3 linked regions of the Lonchura striata genome follow. The main gene of each other region encodes a partner of the protein of the gene in region 3 in a complex. Links are inferred from orthologs where the notes say so. Each region holds a gene or a part of one and is shown on either strand. Other genes may lie near its edges.

The links. The genes of interacting proteins can lie anywhere in the genome.
Region 1: TAF3 (region 3) and TAF10 share a complex: the UniProt entries of both Homo sapiens proteins name them as parts of the TFIID basal transcription factor complex. The link is inferred for Lonchura striata from reciprocal best matches to the Homo sapiens genes TAF3 and TAF10.
Region 2: TAF3 (region 3) and TAF11 share a complex: the UniProt entries of both Homo sapiens proteins name them as parts of the TFIID basal transcription factor complex. The link is inferred for Lonchura striata from reciprocal best matches to the Homo sapiens genes TAF3 and TAF11.

What each region holds. Positions count from the first base shown.
Region 1 is NC_134604.1:116,987,400-116,993,699, forward strand, and holds TAF10 (transcription initiation factor TFIID subunit 10), read right to left. Parts: upstream 2,218-6,300; coding exon 2,037-2,217; intron 1,715-2,036; coding exon 1,563-1,714; intron 1,407-1,562; coding exon 1,342-1,406; intron 1,240-1,341; coding exon 1,125-1,239; intron 671-1,124; coding exon 581-670; 3' UTR 504-580; downstream 1-503. Other genes in the region: TPP1 (tripeptidyl-peptidase 1), read right to left, coding at 2,611-2,751, 3,330-3,467, 3,537-3,695, 3,803-3,923, 4,171-4,243, 4,330-4,518, 5,717-5,915, 6,125-6,300. UniProt on the Homo sapiens protein: The TFIID basal transcription factor complex plays a major role in the initiation of RNA polymerase II (Pol II)-dependent transcription.
Region 2 is NC_134632.1:4,361,425-4,368,727, reverse strand, and holds TAF11 (transcription initiation factor TFIID subunit 11), read left to right. Parts: upstream 1-4,969; coding exon 4,970-5,137; intron 5,138-5,208; coding exon 5,209-5,348; intron 5,349-5,481; coding exon 5,482-5,569; intron 5,570-5,732; coding exon 5,733-5,829; intron 5,830-6,407; coding exon 6,408-6,538; 3' UTR 6,539-6,800; downstream 6,801-7,303. Other genes in the region: ANKS1A (ankyrin repeat and SAM domain-containing protein 1A), read right to left, coding at 4,180-4,376. UniProt on the Homo sapiens protein: The TFIID basal transcription factor complex plays a major role in the initiation of RNA polymerase II (Pol II)-dependent transcription.
Region 3 is NC_134607.1:68,966,997-68,974,400, forward strand, and holds the start of TAF3 (transcription initiation factor TFIID subunit 3), read right to left. Parts: upstream 3,017-7,404; 5' UTR 2,950-3,016; coding exon 2,784-2,949; intron 1-2,783. Other genes in the region: ATP5F1C (ATP synthase F(1) complex subunit gamma, mitochondrial), read right to left, coding at 6,105-6,111, 6,924-7,020. UniProt on the Homo sapiens protein: The TFIID basal transcription factor complex plays a major role in the initiation of RNA polymerase II (Pol II)-dependent transcription.

The DNA of each region.
Region 1 (6,300 bases), on a different chromosome or scaffold from region 3:
TGGTATGGAACCAGCTGCTGGGGTACGGGGCGGAGGAATGGGGGGAGTTGTTTGGGGTGGGGGGCTGGAGTGACTGGGGGGCTGAGACTCACAGGGGATGTCTAGGACTGAGGGTGGGGTTGGATTGACATGGGGCTACCTTGCAGCCCACAGAGCCCTGGGCACAAGTCACCACCCACAGCAACCCTCTGGTGCCCAGCACAAGTAGGGTAGATAGGCACAGGGCCCCCTCGGGAGGGGCCTGGTGCAGGAGGGGTGGGCTCAGGGTCCCATCCCTGGCTCCATTTGTCGTGCTGCCTGTGCAGCCCCCATGGTGTTCCCTGTGGGAGACAAGGGGCAGTTTAGGGAAGGAGGAGAAGGAAGAGTGCTGGGCAGTCCCTGTGCCCTAACCCCACTCTGCTCCAGTACTGCTGGGAGCACCGAGCCCCCTCTGACCAGCAGAGGGGGGTGAGCACGTGGAGGACCAGGGCCAGCACTTGAGGACGCAGGCACAGGAGCAAGGCTGCCTTCCCACAAAACCCTGTGAGGTGTTTAATGGCACTGACACTACCCCTACAAGCTGCCCAAGCTCCCCCGTGCTCTATGTGAAGTAATGCGGCTTTTTGACGTTGATGCCATACTCAGCCAGCGCCGGTGTCAGGTCCTCCATGGTCAGCGTATACTTCTTGTCCTGAGGGACATGGGGCAGGCGGTCACAGCAGGGACAGCCGGGGCCGTGGGACCCCCCACAGTGCAGGGACAGGCGTGTCCCACAGCCAGAGGAGCTGCTGGGCAGCACTGGGGTATGCCCACCTCCCTGCAGATATCCCTGGACAACTAGCACCAAATCCTACTGGCCTTGCGGAGCCCCTGATCCCCAGATATGGCACTAGGAGGGTCCCCAGCACCCCTCACTCCAGCTCCTCCCCAAGCCCAGAGCTGCAACCACTGCTGGGGTGGAGGGGCACCAAAGGGTGTCCACAAGCTCCATGCCCCCATCGTGTCCCCGCCAGCCCCTCCCCGCCCGCAGGGACCCAGCATAAGCCCGCAGATGTTGGGATTTCTACACCCCACATTCCTGCACTCGGTGGCTGCGGCTCAGCCCCATCCCAAGGGAGGGCTCCCCACTCCCCCCAGCCCCTCACCTTGCTCTTGCTGCGGGAGCTGCCCGAGGCTGTGCCCTTCATCTTGCAGTGCTGCAGCGCGTCATTGGCAATGTCCGAGATGAACTTCTGAGCCGCCAGCGAGATCAGGCGGATTCTGCGGGACAGGGACCGTGTTGGTGAGGCAACAGGGTCCGCGGGCCCTTCTGCCGGACCCTGCGTGGCTCCTGCCTCTCCCCCCCAGCTTGCGGCCACTCACATGCGGGGGTCCGAGGCCTCAAACCCTGCCCGGTTCAGGTAATACCCTGTGACGGCGTCCGGGATCTGGGAGGGAAGAGTTGGAACAGCTGCACAGCCCCGCGGAGCGTTTCTACATCCTATGTCCCGTGGCACAGGAGCCGCGCTGTACCCCAGTACCGCGGGACCTGCCCCGTGTCCCATCCCGTCCCGTCCCACGGGAGCCGCCCTGTGTGTCGGTACCGTGGGAGTGTAGTCCTCCAGCTGCATGAGGAAGTCCACGAGCGGTGTGGTGGACACCACCGGCTTCACGTCGCCGTTGGCCGCGGGCGGCACGTACACACCGTTAGACATGGCCCCGTCCGGGGGAGCGGCCACGGCCGCGGACACCGGCACTACGGGACAGCACGGTCAGCGCTACAACGGCGCACGGCACCAGCACCGCGGGACAGCACGGTCAGAGCTAGAACCGCGCACGGCACCGGCACCACGGGACAGCACGGTCAGCGCTAGAACGACGCACGGCACCGGCACCGCGGGACAGCACGGGCAGAGCTAGACCCGCGCACAGCACCGGCACCGCAAGACACACGCCCAGCGGGACCCGGGGCACCCCGGAACACCCCGGGGGCCGCTCCCACGGCCCGAGTAACTCAGCGCGTCCCGCGGGGCTCCCGTGAGCGGGGCGCATCTCCCGCCGCCCCCATCGCGACTCACCGGGCCCCCTCCCGCCGGCCGCACAGCCCTCGGCGGCGCGCGCCGCACCGCCCCCCGCAGCCGGCGCCGCCCCGGGCCCGGCGCTTCCCGCGGCGGCCGGGCTGGGCTTGCTGCCGTCGGCGGGGCCCGGCGGGGCAGCCGGAGCCGCGGCCGCGGGGTCGGGATCGCCGCTGCCGCTCATGGTCCCGGCGCCAGCCCGCTCCGCGCCTGCGCATGCCGAGCCGCTGCATTGGCCCCGCGGCTCCTTCGCCCCGCCCCCCTCGCCGTCCCATTGGCCCCGTTGGGCCCCCGCCTTGCCCCCCATTGGTTCAGCCCTCCGACGCTCATCGCCCCGCACGGGTCCAAACAGAGGCGGTGGGCGGGGCTTCGCTTGTTTATTGCTCCGCCCCCGCCGCCCCAGCTCCGCCCCCAGCTCCGCCCCCAGCTCCGCGGCGTTCGCGGTCCGGTCCCGCTGTCCGGTCCCGCTGTCCGGTCCCGCGGCCCGTGCACCGCTGTCCGTGCGGTCCCGCTGTCCGTGCGGTCCCGCTGTCCGTGCCCCGTTGCCCGGCACCGCGGTCATGCCACGGGGCCCCGGTCAGCGCGGCCCCAGCGCCCGCAGCAGGCGCGGGAAGTTGGGGGTGCCCCAGCCCGTGACCGGGTCCCAGGCGGGGGTGGCACAGAAGCCCTGGCCCTGCACGGTGCCATCCAGGCAGGACAGGTGGCAGCCCTGGATCACCTGCGGGGACCAGCTTCAGTACTGGACCGCGGCAACGCCCCCCAAGTCTCGGGACAGCGACCTCTGGAGCACCCGAGCCCCACACAGGCCTGGGACAGGGATCCCAGGGCCCAGGGACCACCCAGGACAGGGGTAGCATGGGCACAGGGACCCTGCCCGCAGTCCCCAGGACCCAGGGACAGCTGTCCCTGCCATCCCTGAGACAGGAATCCTGGGGACAGGGGCCCCCAGACATCTGACATGGGGACCCCCACAGAGCTCACAGAAGCCCATAGGGACCCCCAAGGATATCACGCCCATGGAAACGTCGAGGCCAACCCCAGGACCCCCTCCCATGGGAACGCCATAGGGATTCTCTCCTGCCCCCCAGCAGGACACTGCTGGCCCTGCCCCAGGCACAGCTTTGGGAGCAGGAACCCCAGGACAACCCCCAGCCCCCAGGACAGCCCTTGGAGCACACACGGCCCTCCCAGCCCCATGGATGGGCCCACCCCAGGCCTCAGCCAAACACATCAGAACACCCGAAGTCCCCTCAGCCCCCAGGACAGCCCCTCCAGCCCATTCCCTGCTCTGCTCACATCGTAGAATGCATCACCAAGCCCTTGCTTCTGCAGCTGGTAGAGCACAGGGTTGAGGAAGCCAAGGGGTGCCAGCCCCCGCTGCAGGCGCCGGTCATTGATCAGTGCCACCATGCCTGCCACCACCGGTGTGGACGCCTGCGTGGGCACAACCGCTCAGCCCAGGGCCCCGCCGTGCTGGAGGGCAGCAGGGGGTGAGCTCCTTACCGAGGTTCCCGACACCCAGGGCAGCGGGATGCGGTTTGTCACCACCCAGTAGTTGTCAGAGAGCGCAGCCAGGTCGGGGTATGCACGGCCACTGCTGTTGTAGTAGGAGCTGGGCGGCAGCTTCGAGGCTGAGTGCAGGAAATGCCCAACAGCAGCGGCCTGGGGATAGCACGGCCTGTGGGCATCCCCAGGGCCACTGTCCCCCCCGAGCCTAACCCTGCAGCCCCGTCTGCAGCCCCCAGCCTGGCGGCACTGGTGTCCCTCACCTGGTACTCGGGCATGGGGAAGACGTTGCTGAAGCCACCCCCGCTGATGTAATCCGTCACCTCCTCCGTCACCAGGAAGGGGTTCTTGAAGGACGTGCCACCCACGGTGGTGACGTAGGGGCTGGGGAAGCAGGGGGACACTGCCGGTGGGCACAAGGCTGCTTGGGCCTTAGCAGCCACCAACAGCCCCCTCTGCTACCACACCTTCACCCCACAGACCAAACCAATCCCGCAGCTGCACAGGCTGCAGCTCTGGGCTCTGTACGACTGCTGGTGAGGACCCTCAGGTGACCTTTCAGGAGCTCAGACCCCTCTGGGGCCGGGGCCGGCTGTGCCTCCGCAGGGCTGTGCTGACCCCTCGCACCCACCTGGAGGCCGGGAAGCTGGGCCGGAACGTGTGGTTCCCGCCATGCTCTCGCCGACAGCCAGCACCGTCGTCACCTGCAACACAGGAACAGGTGACAGGTGAGCACGGCGCCCCAGGCACCCCCTCCCCAGCCCCACTCGGTGCTCGAGCTCAGCTGCACCTGAGGCAAACAGGATGGTGAGGCCGCGGGCCGCCGCCTTCATGAACTCGGTGTTGACACGCTCCATGTAGGCGTAGGACAGGCTGTCCTCGTCGTCCCCGTAGCTCACCGAGTGCACCCAGGGCAGCGCTGACATGTTGCTGAGCAGCAGCAGCCAGGCCAAGAAGGGCTCCTGGCTCTCGTGGCGCCCTGCAAGGACATCGGGGAAGGGACACGTGGGATAGCTCCTCCGACATCAGCGACAGTGGGAGACAGTGCGAGGAGCCCTGCCTCATCAGCACCAGCACCCTCCTTCGCAGTGCAGCTCCAAGTGCTCCTTCCTGTGGGCCATGGAGTCACAGCACATCCGGCCTGGAGCTCCGTGAGCTCATCCTGGGGCTCCTCACATTGACAGCACTGAGCTTCAGCTCAGCCCATGGGGTTGGCAAGACTGTCATCAGCCCAGGACAGGGGGCTACACTCACACCTCCTCTCTGAGACTCTGCCCCAGGGCTGCAGCCACATGGGCACCTGTGGGCCCAGCAGGGCCTCAGCTCCTCCTCTGGCAACAGGTCCCAGAAGAGAAGCGCATGTGCCACCTCCACACATTCCACCTGCACCTGCCCAGGTCCCTCCCTGTTCCCAGCCCTCTCCACTGGGAGGGGAGCAGCGTCCCAGGCACACCTACTCACTCTCGGTCACCCATGTCACTCATCTGCATCCTTCCCATACCAGTAACTGTGTGAGGACGGAGGGAAGGGCAGCACTCATCTGCTGTCACCGTCACCATCAGGGACAGGGCTGCTGTCCCTGTGGCACCCACCTGCTCAGCCAGTTCCCAGTCTGGGACAAGGACACTGCCCCTAGCACTGTGCCCTGTTTGTGTTTGTGTAGGCTGTTTGGCAATTTATTTTCCCAATTCCCTCACTCTCCCTCATCTGTTCCTCTGGAAGGCTCGTGGGTGGGAGCTCAGCTGCAGCAGAGCTGGAAAACCCCACGGGAGGAGGGCTGTGCCCTCCTTCATGGAGCTGAGTGGGGCAGCTGCTCTGTATGGTGCTAGCAACAGAAACCCTGCTTCAGGATACTCTGAAGATTGAAGGTATACAGAGTTCAAAGTCACCACACACAGCAGGAGTGATGTCCCTAGGAGCTGGGAATGCGGTGCCAGCTCTGACTTGGGGAGCACACAGGGTCCGCTCCCACAGCAGCTGGGGATGCACCTGGGCAGTACTACAGCCAGTTGTCTGCACAGCCCTGCAAGCTCTCCCCTCACTCCTCCCAGCACTCCCCTCCCTTGTTCCAGCCCCCTCCCTCAAACCTCCAAATGTTCCCTTCCCTGCTCCAGGCCCTCCCCTCCTCTCTCTGGGTGCTCTCCTTCCCCCTGCCCCTCGTGGCTCTTCCCCAGTACCTGCGTTGCTGAAGACCCAAGTGGAGACATTGGCGCCCGTGCTCATGATGTATTCTACATCCAGGCTGGCCTCCAGCCCGGCTTTGCCACGGCCCTGGTGCCCCACCACCCGGTCCACTTGCGTGCGGTGGGCAAAGCCGCTGCCAAAGAGCTGCATGAACTCAGCCAGGTCAGCTTGGTGGAAGTACTGCTCGAGAAACTGTGGGATACAGAGGGACAGGTTGTCTCCTCTCAAAAAAACAAGGTAACGCTTTGATCCTGACGTAGGAAATTGCCCAGCACGGGTCTGTGCTACACCAGGTGCTCCCAGCAGCCACTGAGGGACACCCAGCTGTCCCAAGACCCCCAGACCAGCACCAAACCCTTGGACTGCCCCGGTACACATGCCTCTGACAAGGCAGTGCTTACCTGTGCACAGGCCTGGCTGTTGTTGGGCAGCAGCCCCACATCCCCCCCTGTCATGTTGTATCTCTGGCGCAGGACAGCCGGTGTCACGCCCAGGTGGAACGATGCTCGTGCCAGCTTTGCGTCCTTCCTGGCCCTGGCTCTGCTAATTGCCTTGTGCTCCGTGGGGAACCGGTGCA
Region 2 (7,303 bases), on a different chromosome or scaffold from region 3:
CCACAAGTTCTGCTTTACCCACTTTACCCAAGTGCCACTGAGCAAGGAGAGTCTGATGCTCCTGACCCAGCCCTGAACACAGAACTGCACCGAGCAGAGCAAGCAAGCAAAAACTTTCCAAAACTGCAGGACAAGATCACACAGAGACAAAACACTGCAGAGTCCCAGCCAGTAACTGCAGCCTTTGAATTCTTAAAGAAGTACTTAGGAAACAATTCCCAGCACAAGCACCTTCAGCAATCCCTGTGCTCAGGTGTGTAATTAAAGAGGGTTCAGTCCCACAGCGCCGTGTGCACGGGAGGGTGTGGAGAAGGTTTAAAGTGGGTGAGATGATTAATCACAGCAGCAGGATGAGGGGGAGACCCAGCATTGCCCTGTTCTGCGGGAATGCAGCAGGAGCAGCTCCTTTGTGATGGGGAAAGGCAAGAGAGGGAAGCACCTTGCTTGCACAAGGCTGGGTTAGCTGGACCTTGGAGCCCCCCGGTGATCCTGCTGCTGTCTCTGCCGGACACTGCAGGACTCACTGTGTGCTCACCCACACGGCCTGGGGACACCTGGAGGGACAGACAGACAGCCCGGCCCTGACCTCGGACAGGGCAATCCCCCCCTTCCCCAGGGGGAAATCCTTGGCACCGTGTGCCTTCCCCGGGGAATGGCAGCAGACAGGCACAGTCGGAGCCTTCCCCAGGAGGCACCATCAGATCCCTGCTGTGAACCATCAGCAGCACCAGAACAAATAGCAAACCCCACTTTTAAATTTTTTCTGATTCCTAACCACCCTTGGACTGTTGGAAGCCACCTCAAGTGTTCTGCCATCCTGCCACATCACTCTTTAAACCAACCAGACCCCCTCACCAGCAGCAACAGCTGAAAATGGGCTGGAGCAAGGGTTGTGGCTTCTCTGGAGCAGCACTCGACCCTTCCCACAATAGACGTGCACCCAAACTCCTCATCCCCAGCAGAAGCATCTCCCTGATACGCTCCCTGGGGACTGCATATCCCATCTGGGGCTCAGCAGCAGCCTCAGCTTCCCCCTCTGGCAACACAGATCCAGACTTTTCACAGCAATAGATGGAAATAAAAAGCTGCTTCTGCAGCTTTGGCTTTAACACAACCCATCCCTCATTGCTCCTGGCAAAACCTCCTGAATGCAGCCTGATAGCTCAGCCACAGACTGTTTTGTTGTTTCCCACCCCTAACTTCACAGTAAACCACTAAAAAAAAAAAACCACAATACATCAAATTCTGCAGCCTCGATGCAGAAGTGGCTCATAACCCCAAGGAACCTCAAGGATTCACAGACCATCTCTGATTTCTGGACTTGCTGTTGCTCTTAAGCCTCAAGCTGTGCATGCACAGAGTGGGTTTTCTCTCTGGCTCCTCACACGGAGCTCCTGCCTGTGCCACGGTCCATGGCTGGAACCGGAGAAGCCGGGCCTGGCCAGGGAGCCAGGACCTGCTCCCACTGCTGGGCCAGGCCTGCAGCAGCTCCCCAGGCCCTGGCAGATCCCAGGGGCTGCGTGGACGCCAGCAGGGAGCCGAGCCTTCCAAAGCCTGGCAGCCATCACCTCTTTGTGAGCCCACCATCTGCTCTGGCAGATCCACACTCCCATTTCCCCCTCCTGCATCCTCCTCGTTTCCCCAGCTCTCTGTCAGCACTCCCCATTCCCATCAGCTTCCCATCAGGATTTATTCTCCTGCCCAGTGCCCTGAGTGTTGCACCTGGCACATTCACCCCTCCAGAGACTTAAATTGTCTTTGGAGCTCCTCCTCCTGTGGATTACCCCACTCCATCCCATTCTGTTTCCTGCTCACCTGCAGCCATAGGTGATTGGAATCTGTGCTGCCTCCACACCCAGCGGGCCCTGCTCAGCCTGGGAAGGAGCAGCACAGCCCAGACTGTGACAAAGTTCACATTTAACTGATAACAGACCAATGGCAATTCAGGTTACCTGATAAAACACCACATTGCAAGGAATTTACTGCCAGGGCCATCTTCTACCACTTCATGGAGCAGCACTTGCTCTCTTTGGAAGAGAAATGGCCCAAACCAGTGAGTGCCAGCTCAGAGCAGGTGCCAGCACAGCATGTACCAGGTGTAATGTGGGAATTCCAGGGAATGCCTGGTTTGTACCCCATCCAAAACTATATCTTTGAGACACTGGAAAGGCAGAACTGACAAAAAGAGCTGCAACAGGCACCTCAGGAGAGAAGAGCTTTGGGAGCAGGTTATCCAAACAGTGGGACTTAAACAGAAACTAAAATAGGGTCCTGAAATCAGGCAGAGAAAAGAACAAAGGTAGCAGCCCAGCAGAGTGTTTATGTTCCTGCTCTGGGAGTGGAGAGCAGCTCAGCAGCTCCTGTGTCAGGAGAGATCCTTACGGACACGAGGAGCCTTGGCAGGAGCAGGGATCAGCCTGAGCAGGGTCACGGGCTGCCCAAGGAAGGGAAAACACAGAGCACACAGGCCTGACTGAGGGCAGGCTTCTCCCCACAACCAAGGAGGGCAAAATCCTACATCAGAAAAGTTCCCATGTTCTAGCATTGGAAAAGGTGATGTTTTCTCCACCCTAAAATTCATCTGTCTGGTCCCTGCAGCCTGTCCCAGCCTGTCTCCTGCACTCCCTGGCCTCTCCTTGCAGGGACACTCAGCAGCTGCTTCTCATCAAAACCTCACCACGAGCTGGAGGAGTCCATAACAGAGCCAGAGCCCAGCAAGTGCTCGGGAGGTGGGAAACAGTCACAAAGCTCCTAAATAGCACCAGGTGGCAAACAGGACACGTTGCCATGCCCCACAGTGTGCAGCCAGACCAGGAACTGCTGTCACAGGCACAAATCCCAGCTGTACAGAGAAAGGGGCAGGTCCAGTGTCACCAGCAGCTACAGCCATGGTTGTGAGCATGGAAAACGAGTGACAGCTGTGACAGGCACCCTCCTTCAGGCTGTGCACGAAGCAGTGTCCACATGTGAGAAACAGTAACAGGTCAGAGCCAAAGGGACAGCCGGGCTCACTCTGGCACCACGGGACTGCTCCAGGACCATGGCACCACGGGCACTGTCCAGGAAAAGGCAGAAAAAGGCCCCATCGTGCCCAGGTGCTGTTGGGCACTGGCGGATCTGGTTCAGCTCACAGGGTGTTCAACTGCACTGAGCCACTGCACTGATCTGAGGCCCCTGTGGGCACATCCATCCCACTCCAACAAGGGCTCAGACTGTTTAATGTAGCAAAAGAGAAGAACAAAGCTCGACCCAAGGGTAGATTTACGTTTCAGAAAGGCAAACGTGTGCCCCAGGGCAGGGTGAGCTCTCGCATGCCTGCAAGCTTCTGCCACCAGCACAACCTGCAGGGATCCAACTGGTTTATGTGAAAGGAAAAACAGATGAAATTTGGCCAAAAAGGGGCAAGTCACATCTCTCTGAACAGCCAGGTTGTGTAGCAACAGTATCACTTGGCACTGGACACAAACCTCCTCCACACCTCCCGTACAAACCAACTGCTCAGGGACCAGGAGCATTCCCAAAGTGCCCAAAGCTGCAGCTCCAGCAGCGAGAGGTGATGCCAAAACACGAGGAAGAGAAACAAAAGTCCAAGAGCTTCAACCAGCAAATTCCACAGCATGGGGCTGAGGACGAGCCGAGCCCAGGCACGACAGAGTGTCACCGCCAGCCGCGACAATGCCAGCGCAGGGCCGGGACACCTCGCGAAAGTCATCCCGCAGCTCTGGCAGTGCGGGAGCCTCCCCGGGCACACCGCAGCTCCCAGCGCCGCAGCGGCTGGTGCCAGGGGGGACGGGCAGCACCCAGCGCTGGCACTGCCGGCTGCAGACAGCTCGAAAGTCACCCACTCCCCTCTCCGGAGGGCACAGCAGCCCGAGGAGCTCCCTCTGGCACGGCCCCCCGGCATCACCGGCCCCACCAAACGCTCAGGGGTGCGCAGCTCCCACGCCCCGCTGCAGTGTCCCGTCCCAGCCGGGGAGCAGAGCGGGGACAGACCCCGGCCTGCCCCGCAGCGCTGCGGCCCCAGCAGCCCCCTCGCTGCACCCCAAGATCCAAACCCCCCAGACGCCCCCAGCCCCACACACGCCACCCGCGGCTCCCGCTGCCCTCCCGGCCCGCAGCGCCGCAGCCAGCGGCAGCAGCCCCCGCCGGGCCGCGGATCCGTCCCCGGGCCGCGCTCACCTCAGCAGGCTGGACAGCGGGTGCCCCACACCGCCGCTCCCGCCGCTCCCGCCGCCGCCTCCCCCCGCCGAGCCGCCGCCGCCGCCCCCGCCGGAGCCGCCGAAGCCGGAGCTGAGGCGCTTCCCCGAGAGCAGCTTCTCCACGGCCGGGAGGTTCCCGGTGCGGGCGGCCTCCAGCAGCTCCTGCTCCTTCCCCATGGCCGGCGCGGCCCCGCCGCCCGCGCGACTTCCGGGGCGGGGCCGGGGCGGGCCGGGGCGGGGCCTCGGAGGGCGCGGCCCGACGGGCGGGGTTTGATGGATGGGCGGTGCGGGGGCGGGGAGCTGTAACGGCCACGCCCCCCGCGGTGCCCGCCGTGCCTCGGCCGCGCCCGTTTCGGGCGGCTCTGGGGAGTTTTCCCCGCGGGGCCGCCCTAGCGCCGTGTCCCGGCAGGGTCCAGGCGTGCGGAGGGCGGCTCGGAGCGGGGTTGGTCGGTCCGGGCGCGCAGAGCCCGGGGGTGAGGCCCGCACGGGGCCCCCTCCGCAGCCCCGCTGCCATGGCGACAAGCCCGGCCCCGCGCGTCATTAAGCTGCGCTGCCGAGTCGCTGTTGCCGCGGCAACAGGCACCGCCCTCGTTGTCATCGGGACGCGCTGTCGCACCTCCGTTGCCATGACTACAGACGCCGTGCCCCCCCGCCTCGCCGGTGCGCGTGCGTCATCACGAGGCGCCCCGCGTCACGTTCCCGTGGCGATAGGCCCCGCCCCTCGCGGCGCCCGCAGTGTTTCGTCATCAGGAGGCGCCGCGGGCGCGGCCATGGCGGACCCGGCCCGGGACGCGCTCGGTGCCGCCGCCGCTGTGCCGGAGCCGCCGCCCGCAGCCGCCTCCCCGCCCGAAGCGGCGGCCGCAGAGGCGGCGGGAGAAGGCGAGGTGCGGGAGGCTGGCGGCGGCAGCGAGCTGAAGGCGGAGGTGGCGGACGGGGAGGTGAGGCGGGAGCGGGAGCGGGGCCGGGGCGGGCGGCGGGGCCGCAGAACGAGCGCTGCGCTCCCGCCCAGGTGAGGAGCGCGGAGGGGGAGGCGGCGGACGCGGAGGAGCCGGGGCTGCAGGCGGGTGCGGCCCGGAAGGTGAAGCTGGAGCTGAAGGAGCGGAAGGAGAAGAAGCAGAAAGTGGACGAGGACGAGATCCAGAAGATGCAGTGAGTGCCTGCGGGTTCGGGAATCGTGGCCCCGGTGCCGCAGCCCCCTCCAGATCCCCCTCCCCGCCTTCCAGCCCGGCGCTCCCCGCTCCGGCCTCCGCGGGGCTGGGAGCGATCGCTGCGTGCCCCGCAGGATCCTGGTCTCCTCCTTCTCCGAGGAGCAGCTGAACCGCTACGAGATGTACCGGCGCTCTGCCTTCCCCAAGGCTGCCATCAAACGGGTACGAGAGCGGCCGGAGCCCCGGCGGGGCTGGGCCACGGCCGGTCCCGGGGGGCTCCAGCTCCAATCCCCGCAGCGGGAGCTGGGGCCGCGGCTCCCCGAGGGGCTGGATGGGCTGGGAGGTCACGGGGGTGGGGATCTGACTGTCCCTGTCCCTGTCCCAGCTCATCCAGTCCATCACCGGCACCTCCGTGTCCCAGAACGTCGTCATTGCCATGTCGGGCATCTCCAAGGTGTTTGTTGGGGAGGTGGTGGAAGAAGGTGAGTGGCACCTTGCTGAGAGGCTAGGGTGAATTCCCTGCTTGGAGCAGGGTGTGGAACAGGATTTTCATGGTTCTCCAGCAGCTCTGGCTCACAGCAGAAGCTGCCACAGCCCCTCTGATCCCCCAGCACTGCTGCTTCTCCTCAGGAAGAGAAGCTGGGCTGGCAACTCCGTCCCTCAGCCCCAGAGCAGCTGCATGATGGGGATGCCATTAGTGCTGCAGGGACAGAGTGGCTCCAAAGCCTCTAGACCTGCCCCAGTTCCTTTGTGGGATGAGCTCAGATCAGTTTGGGACAGGGAGCTGAGCCTGCTCTTTCTGCTCAGCTGTTGGGGCTCACAGCCCACCCACCCCCAGAGGCTCTGAGCTCCTCCACCCCCTCCACAGTTCCTGAGGGGTTCAGCAGCTTTTTGTCCTGCCTGCTGCCCTGGGACTCCTGTCAGGGAGGAGGAGCTGGTGCAAACCCCAAGCACAAACATTTCCTGTTCCTTCCCAACTGCACTGAAGCAGCAGCAGGGGCTGGGCAGAGCTCAGCTGGCCCCTGCCCTGACCTGTGTGTCTGTCTGTCTATCTGTCCAGCTTTGGATGTGTGTGAGAAGTGGGGGGAGCTGCCCCCCCTGCAGCCCAAGCACATGAGGGAGGCTGTCCGGAGGCTCAAGGCACGGGGGCAAATCCCCAACTCCAAGTACAAAAAGATCATTTTCCACTGAGAGAGGCTGAGATAAGCTTCCTGTAGGACCTTCCCACGTGGACTCTTCCCTAAGGCCCTTTTGGGGTGACCTGTGGGACCTCAAGGATGTTCCTGCTGTCCCTGCCTGTGCTGGGCAGAGCCTGGATGCACCCTTGACCTGGACTTTGGGGAGAGCAACATCCAGGGGCTGCAGAGCATTTTCTGCTGGCCCAGATGTGCCATCTGTGCCCAGATGTGTGGGTTTTCTTTTCAGTGCATTAAACTTATTCTTGTGTTCATAACCAGGCTGGGATCTGCTCTTTGTGTGACCCAAGGTGCTCCCAGAGCTGATTCCCTGGGAACATCTGAAATCAGGGTTCAGCTGTGCTTCCAAATCCAGAAGCTGCCCAAAAAACAGCAGCAGTGGGAAGAGAGGGGGAGGGAAAAGCAGGAAAAGAGGCCAGAGCCTGGAAGGAGGTTAATGAGTTTAATTCTGCTCGTGGTTCATAGAACCAATAAACCCATCAGTGGAAACAAACTGCAGCAAAGTTGCAATACTGCCTAAAATTCAAATTCAAGTTCAGACTTGCACATTGCCCCTGTCCCCTTCCAGGGGCCCTGGGAGCTGCTCCTGACCCTGTGAGAGGTGCTGAGACCACGTGCTCTCCCATGGCACCTGTGGGCTCTCACTGGAACAGAGGAAGAATCCTTAAATAAGAGGCTCCACAAAGTAAACTTTGATATTTACAATCTGTGGGGACCCAGGAGGTTTTGTCCTCCCACACGTGTGGGTTTTGGGTTACAC
Region 3 (7,404 bases):
CCCCAGTGAGTCACCTTCTCCCTACCCTGGACTTCAGGCAATCAATTATCCATCCCAGCTCCAACCCCTGCCAGACCCAACTGCTCTGACCTCTGCCCCAGGGGCCCTCCAGGATTTCCCCATCACTCATGGAGCAGCAGCTGCCTACAATGCCACAGCTCTCCAGCATGCCAGAGGAAAGGGGAACATGTCCCTCCTGGCACAGGAGGCACAAGCAGCCCTGTTTTCCCAGGCATACAGCCTACACCCACCTCTCCGGAGTACACCTGCTCCCCAAAGTCCCTCTGCTATGGAGATCCCCCTTCATCTCCTTCCTAATTCTCACAGATGCAGCAGGAGCACTGGCAACCCCATCTCTGCATACGAATCTCTGCCACATGACACCCTCCCTGTCCCACATGGAGGGCAGCAAAGGCCTCCACACACAGACCCATGACCCTCTCACCACACCCACAGCCTGAGCCTTGCTCCTCATTCCCCACATTTCCTGTGTTTAGAGCTGGCAGTGACCCTGACAGCCTCCCTCTCCCTGCAGATTGCCACCTCCCCACCCCTTCCTGACCCACCCAAACCCAGCACACCCCTACCACCCTCTCAGCCCCACTGGCAGCATGACTGACCAAGCAAGCAACTGGACATCCCACCCTCCAACCCCCCATGTTCTGCAGGTACAGCAGGACATCCAACCCCTCAGTAGCTCCACTGCAGGCTCTGCAGGGACACAACACTGCATCCTCTACCATACACCCAGACCCAACAGTGCTGCTCCCTTCCCAATCCCATTCCACACTCCTGTGTGTGATCCAGCCAGCAGTCCTTGGCACTGATTCCCAGGCTTCTCCTCTTTCTCTTCTCCCACTTCCTGTAAACTCAGCCCTTCCATGCTCCCAGCCCAACACAACCTCACCTCAAATCCAGTGAGGCCTTGGGCATCACTTCCACTGCCCTCCACCATCACTTCCAGCTCCCTCTGTACCACCTCCATGGCAGAGCTGGCTAACTCCAGTCCCCCACACATCCAGCCAAATCTCTTCCTCTGCCTCCACACAAGGACACCCATACCTCATGCCATGTGCACTAAATTATCCCCAGCCCAAATCCACCCTTTCTGCACTCCACAATTCCCATGTGCAGCCATGCCACACTCCCACATCCTGTGCACTACAGCTCCACTTCCCCCAAAACACATTAGGGCATCCTTGCCTTCCCACATTCCCCATACACATTCCCCAGTCCCACAGTACCACTGCTTCCCCCCTGTACACAAACATTCCCAGAGCACCCCAGCAACAGGACTTCCAGGCACACCACTCCCTCCCCATGCAGGAGGGAGTCCAAGCCTTCCACCCTCCATCCTCAGCACTTCCCCTTGGGCCAGAATAGGAAACCCCACACACATCTCCACCTGCAGTGGGCCCCTACAGCCCCCTCAGGCACAAAAGATGACCCAAAGATGAGCCACGACAACACAGCACCAAATCCTCCCATGTATACATCCCACCAGGAAAAGAGGCTGGCTGCCTCTTCTCCTTCCAGTTCAATCTCTTCCCAGATTCAGAACATCCCAGCAATAGAGCCAAAACTCCCCTCTCCCCCTTCCCAGCACCCTGCACGCTGTAGCCAGAGAGAGTGGGACAGCACCCCCGTGTTCCCACATTCCAGACCCACTGCCACAGAGCCTCCTTTCCTCCAACCCCAGCCCCACAGTCCCAACTCCTCACCCATACCCAAACCCACTGCCCCACAGTCCTCCGTGGCACCAGGACCCCCTTGCTTCAGCACTGACCCTATGCCTTCCCTCCCCATCCTCCCAGTCCTGTGCACTGCCCCATGGCCCAGCTCCCCTTCCCCAGAGCCCCCAGCCCATGGGCTGATCTTCCATAAACCCACTCACTGACCCAAAGACCCCAGCACTGCCCAAATCCCACCTCCCCGCACTCTTCTGCCCTGCCCAAATGACCACACCTCCATGACCCTCCTCTGCCAAGCATCCCCAGCTCCTGGCACTCTTCAACAAGCAGCAGCTTCCAGCAGCCCTCCCCACACCTCCACAATGCTACCCCACAGCCTTTCCCCACAACCAGGGCCCCCAGTGCTGCCCAAACCCACCTCCTGTGCCCTCCTGCCCAGTCCCCAGACCCCAATGCTGCCCAAACCCACCTCCTGTGCCCTTCTGCCCTGTACCCCAGACCCCTGCCCAATCTCACCTCCCTGTACCCTTCTGTCCTATCCCCCAGACCCTTGGCTTGCCCAAACCCACCTCCTGTGCCCTTCTGTCTGTCTTATCCCCCAGACCCCTGCCCAAACTCACCACCCTGTGCCCTCCTGCCCTGTCCCCCAGACCCCAGCAGTACCAAAATCCCACCTCTCCGTGCCTTCCTGCCCTGACCCCAGACCCCAGCAGTGCCCCACACCACCTCCCTGTGCCCTCCTGCCCTGCCCAAGCCCCAGCAGTGCCCCACAGCACCTCCCTGTATCCTCCTGCCCTGTCCCCCAGACCCCAATGCTGCCCAAACCCACCTCCTGTGCCCTCCTGCCCTGCCCAAGCCCCGGCATTGCCCACACCACCTCCCTGTGCCCTCCTGCCCTGCCCAAGCCCCGCACCCCGTGCTCCTGCCCTGGCCCGCCAGTGTCCAGCGCTGTTTCCTTGGCAGGATGGCCGAGCCCGGCAGGGCTCACGGAGCTCACTCAGCCCGGACCCTGCTCAAGCAGGGCCACCCACTGAGGCCTCCGAGGACCGCGTCCAGCCGCATCCCCCCGGCCCAGCCCCAGCCCACACTCACAGAGCTCGCAGTAGCGGTGGCAGCCCCGGCCCAGCCCCTGCAGGTACCGCTGCAGCACGTCGGTGAGCAGGTCGCAGGCCGAGACCTGCACGGAGTCCCAGCCGAGGGCCTGGCAGATCTGCGCCACCGACACCCGCAGCAGCCAGCGGGAGTAGGTCTCGCACATCCCGCCGGGGCCGGGGGCCGCGGGAGCTCTCACGCACCGCCCGCCGCCGCCGCCGCCATCTTGGCGCCGCCCCGCCCCCGCCAGGCAGCGCCGCTCCAGTGCCGAGCGCATCGAGCGGGGCGGAGCGCGGGAACGCCGCCCGCAGCAACCGAGGCCGCGGCCCGCAGCGCGCGGGACACGCCGGGGTCGGACACGGAACACGGGCCACTGTCGGTACCGCAGCGGGACACGGAACACGGGTCACTGTCGGTACCGCAGCGGGACACGGTAAATGTGCCGCTGTCGGTACCGCAGCGGGACACGGTACATGTGTCACTGTCGGTACCGCAGCGGGACACGGTACACGTGTCACTGTCGGTACCGCAGCGGGACACGGTACACGGGCCACTGTCGGTACCGCAGCGGGACACGGTAAATGTGCCGCTGTCGGTACCGCAGCGGGACACGGTACATGTGTCACTGTCGGTACCGCAGCGGGACACGGAACACGGGTCACTGTCAGTACCGCAGCGGGACACAGTACATGTATCAGTGTCAGTATCGCAGCGGGACACGGTACGTGTGCCACAGTCGGTACCGCAGCGGGACACGGTAAATCTGCCACTGTCGGTACCTCAGCGGGACACGGTACATGTGTCAGCGTCGGTACCGCAGCGGGACACGGTACACGGGCCACTCTCGGTATCGCAGCGCCGCTGAATGTCCCCCACTGCCCCAAGGGATCGTACAGGAAGGATGCGACAAGGCTGTTTACAATGGCTTCGAACTGAGAAGGAGTTTTTGATGGGATATGGGGAAGAAATTCTGCACTGTGGGGGTGATGAAGCACTGGCACAGCGTAGCCAGAGAAGCTGGGGATGTCTCATTCGTGGTGGTATTGAAAGTCTGGTGGGATAGTGAAGTGTCCCTGCCCATCACAGCGGGTGCAACAAGGTGATCTTTAAGGTCCCCTCCAACCCGAACCATCCTGTGATTCTATGGTCTCTATAAATAATCTCAATATCTCTAAATAAATATCTCAGAGAGCTGTCAAAAGGATGGTGTCAGACTTTTCTAAGTGATGAGCAGTGACAGGATAAGGAGCAATGACCATAAGAAAACCAAATCACAAGGAGTTTCACCTCCTCAGGAGGAAGAACTTCATTACGCAGAGGGTGGCAGAGCACTGGAACAGGCTGCCCAGGAAGGTTATTTTTCTCCCTGGAACAGGCTGCCCAGGGAGGTTATTTTTCTCCTTTTTTTTTCTTTCCAGCTGGATGGAACACCAAATTGGCAGCAATAAGGAAAAAACTGTTTCTCGATGACTTGTTTAATTGGGGAAAAAAAAACAAGTAGGGAAAAGGATGGAACTCCGGTGGCAAAAAGGATCCAGAAACAAAATTTACAGTAACTGAGTGGTGTAGGAGGTGCAAGAAGGAGCAGCGCAGCTCTTACTCAGTGGTACCTGTGGAGATACACAAGAGCTAAACTGTAACTCAGTAGTTGTGTGTAACTAATCAAGAGCATGGAGGACAGAACTGTAAATAACAGAACTCTATTATACTATATTATTACTCCAGTATGAAACCCTAATTAGTTCATAAATTAGCACTTTAGTTTATGAGTAGTCTGTTGTGTCAGTCACACATCTCACATCTGCTGCCTGAAGAGCAGGACCTGGACCCCGAACAAAGTCCTGAAGCTCCTGGTTTGGTTAACAGCTCAAGGTCCTGAGGGTGGTGCCCTCAGAGCTCCATACTGGGACCAGTATGAGCTTCTCTGGGCAACGAGTGCCAGGACCTCACCCCCTTCACAGTAGAGAATTTCTTCCCAACATCCAATCTATCCCTGCCCTCCATCAGTTTAAAGCCATTGCCCCTCATCCTGCTGCTCCATGTCCTTATCCAAAGTCGCTTTCCAGCTCCCCTGGAGCCCCTTCAGATGCTGAAAGGTCTCCCTGGGACCTTCTCCAGGCTGAAAACTCTCAGGGTTTGAGAACAAACTCTCCTCAGGAGAGGTGCCCCAGTCCTCCAACATTTACATTTCTATACACACACTGACCATGCAATAAACTGTGCATTCTAAATAACCTCTGTAGTGACTCAACCAATCACATCACTTAATTTTAAAAATTCAACATCTGCTAACAGTAGCAATACAAAATTCAAATAAGAGATATCAGTGTTCTAGCTGTGTGATGCAGAGGTTATTCCAGTCTCCTCCTTGAGCCCACAATACAATGTACCTCTCAAAGTAGATCATTTTCAAAGACAGGGTGAAGTTAGAAAATCTCTTCCACTCTTCAAAAGAAACATCCACTTACATGTTTCACATGGCATATAAACTAAAAGTATAGAGCACAGACTTCTAAGAAACAAAGTTTCAAAGCACACCCAAGCCCAACCCAGATATTTAGACTCCAAGAGCATTTGCTCCACAGACAAGCAAAAGGATCTGTTTCACGGAGGTCGTTTATTGTACGAATTTACAAATTTCTGGGGCTTTTCCACTTCTTCACAAGATAACAGAGCAGTCTTGTTAACACAGACACAGGCAGGCTAAACCACATATGCTCAGAAGAGCTCCTCTTCACCTGTAAATAAAATTGAAACAAATCAAAATCCTTTCATCTATTTATTTATTTTAAACTGCTATTTTCCCCAATTTGAATACTTCATTAATATTCCTCACCACCCCCCAACGATTCATCACATCTATTTTTTTCTTACATTTTAAATTTTGAAATTTTCCTTACATTTTAGATTTTGAATATGTTCATGTTAATACAGAAACCTCTTTATGTATGTCTGACATACAGACACCTTTAAGTAATTGCATAAAGTCAGACCACTATACAAATATTCAAACAGCAATTGCAAATGAATCCAACAATAGAGAAAAAAAAACCACAGAAAATTATAACTCATCTGGGATTATGCTACCATGGACATATTTTCCTTAAAATTACTGAAAAATAAGAACTCTTTGGACAAATTCAAACTAAAAATGTCCAATTTCACAGCTCTTTAGGAAGGAAAGCTTCTGTCTGACCAAGACCATTTAATTCTGTCTTCCTCATCTAACTTTGTATTTTCTGTGTTAATTAATTTTAAAACACAATCCAACTTCTATGACATAACTTTACCTCTTGGATTTGGCTGAACCGCTTTTTCCGATTAATCCCTGGTTATGGTATTATGAGAAAAAACAAAACAAGCAGGTTAGGAAGCAACTCATGCAAATTCAGGCAAAACTGCACGGATTTATGACCACAAATGTATTGTGAGGAGCACAATACAGCACCAAAATAATATAAAGTACATATTCCAGGCATTCTGTAAATACACAGGATATGAACACATGTATTTCCGTACAGAGCACAAATTTTTAACTGTTACAGTAGTACATGTGAGCTACATGCAGTTACAAATTGTGGTCTAACCCCACACATTTGTAACCTGCAGCACACACCTGCACAAAGCCTCATCCTCAGGCAAACAAGCAAAATACTAAATTTCAAGTAAAATACATATTCCATATAAAAGATTCCGGAAATTCCCTCTTTGTAAACCCAGACCCAAACTCTCAGCTTCTGAACACCTGATTTATCCAAAAGCATTTCAGTCACATCATTTGCTCTCCCCCACTCAACACTACTGGGTTATTTGACCAGGCAAAGCAGGAAATGTCCAGGTAAAAAGGAAGAGGGGGGAAATCCACCAAAGGCCAGAAGGAAAATCCTCACCTCTCCAGGCAAGGATGCCTGGTGAGGCTGAAGATCTATTTTACCAGCTTTTAAACTGCATTTGATCAGAAAAAACTGCCAACTTCGCTCTGGTTAGTAGAACTGCGCAAGCTGAAAAGCTTGGGAGCCATGCCAGGGACTGCCTTCCCTCTGGTTTTAGGACCTACAATCCCAAAGTTTGCCTGTTACCCTGGCACACAAGAGCACATGACTGCAACAGCTCTGACTGCACGTTCATACAGATACTCACAGAGCAGCAGCACCAGAGATGATCTCAATGAGCTCCTTGGTGATGACGGCCTGGCGGGTGCGGTTGAACGTCAAGGTCAGCTTGTCAATCATCTCGGCTGGAATAAGGCCAGATTGGAGTTTAAACACAAAATGAGTGTATAAATGCAGATACAGAGAAGCTCTATGGGCACAATATCCAAGTTATTTGCAGTGGTTTACAAGACACAAGAGGTTTAGTGCACCTGACATTTTTTCCCTGCAGGTAATATTACCAAGAAACCATCTATAAACCAGCTTGAGAACTAAGCTTGTCAGTCAAACATCTGCAGAACAGCTGGCAGACTTGTAAATACCAGGCCTGACATTGCTTATTGTAACATAACACAAGCAGGCATCATTAGCTTTGGAATTAGATTTCACTGTCAATTAACTGCATTGTTATTTCCTTCAAGTTGTGGCAAAAGGAGAGATTTTTCTCCATTATTTTTTTCTCAATTATT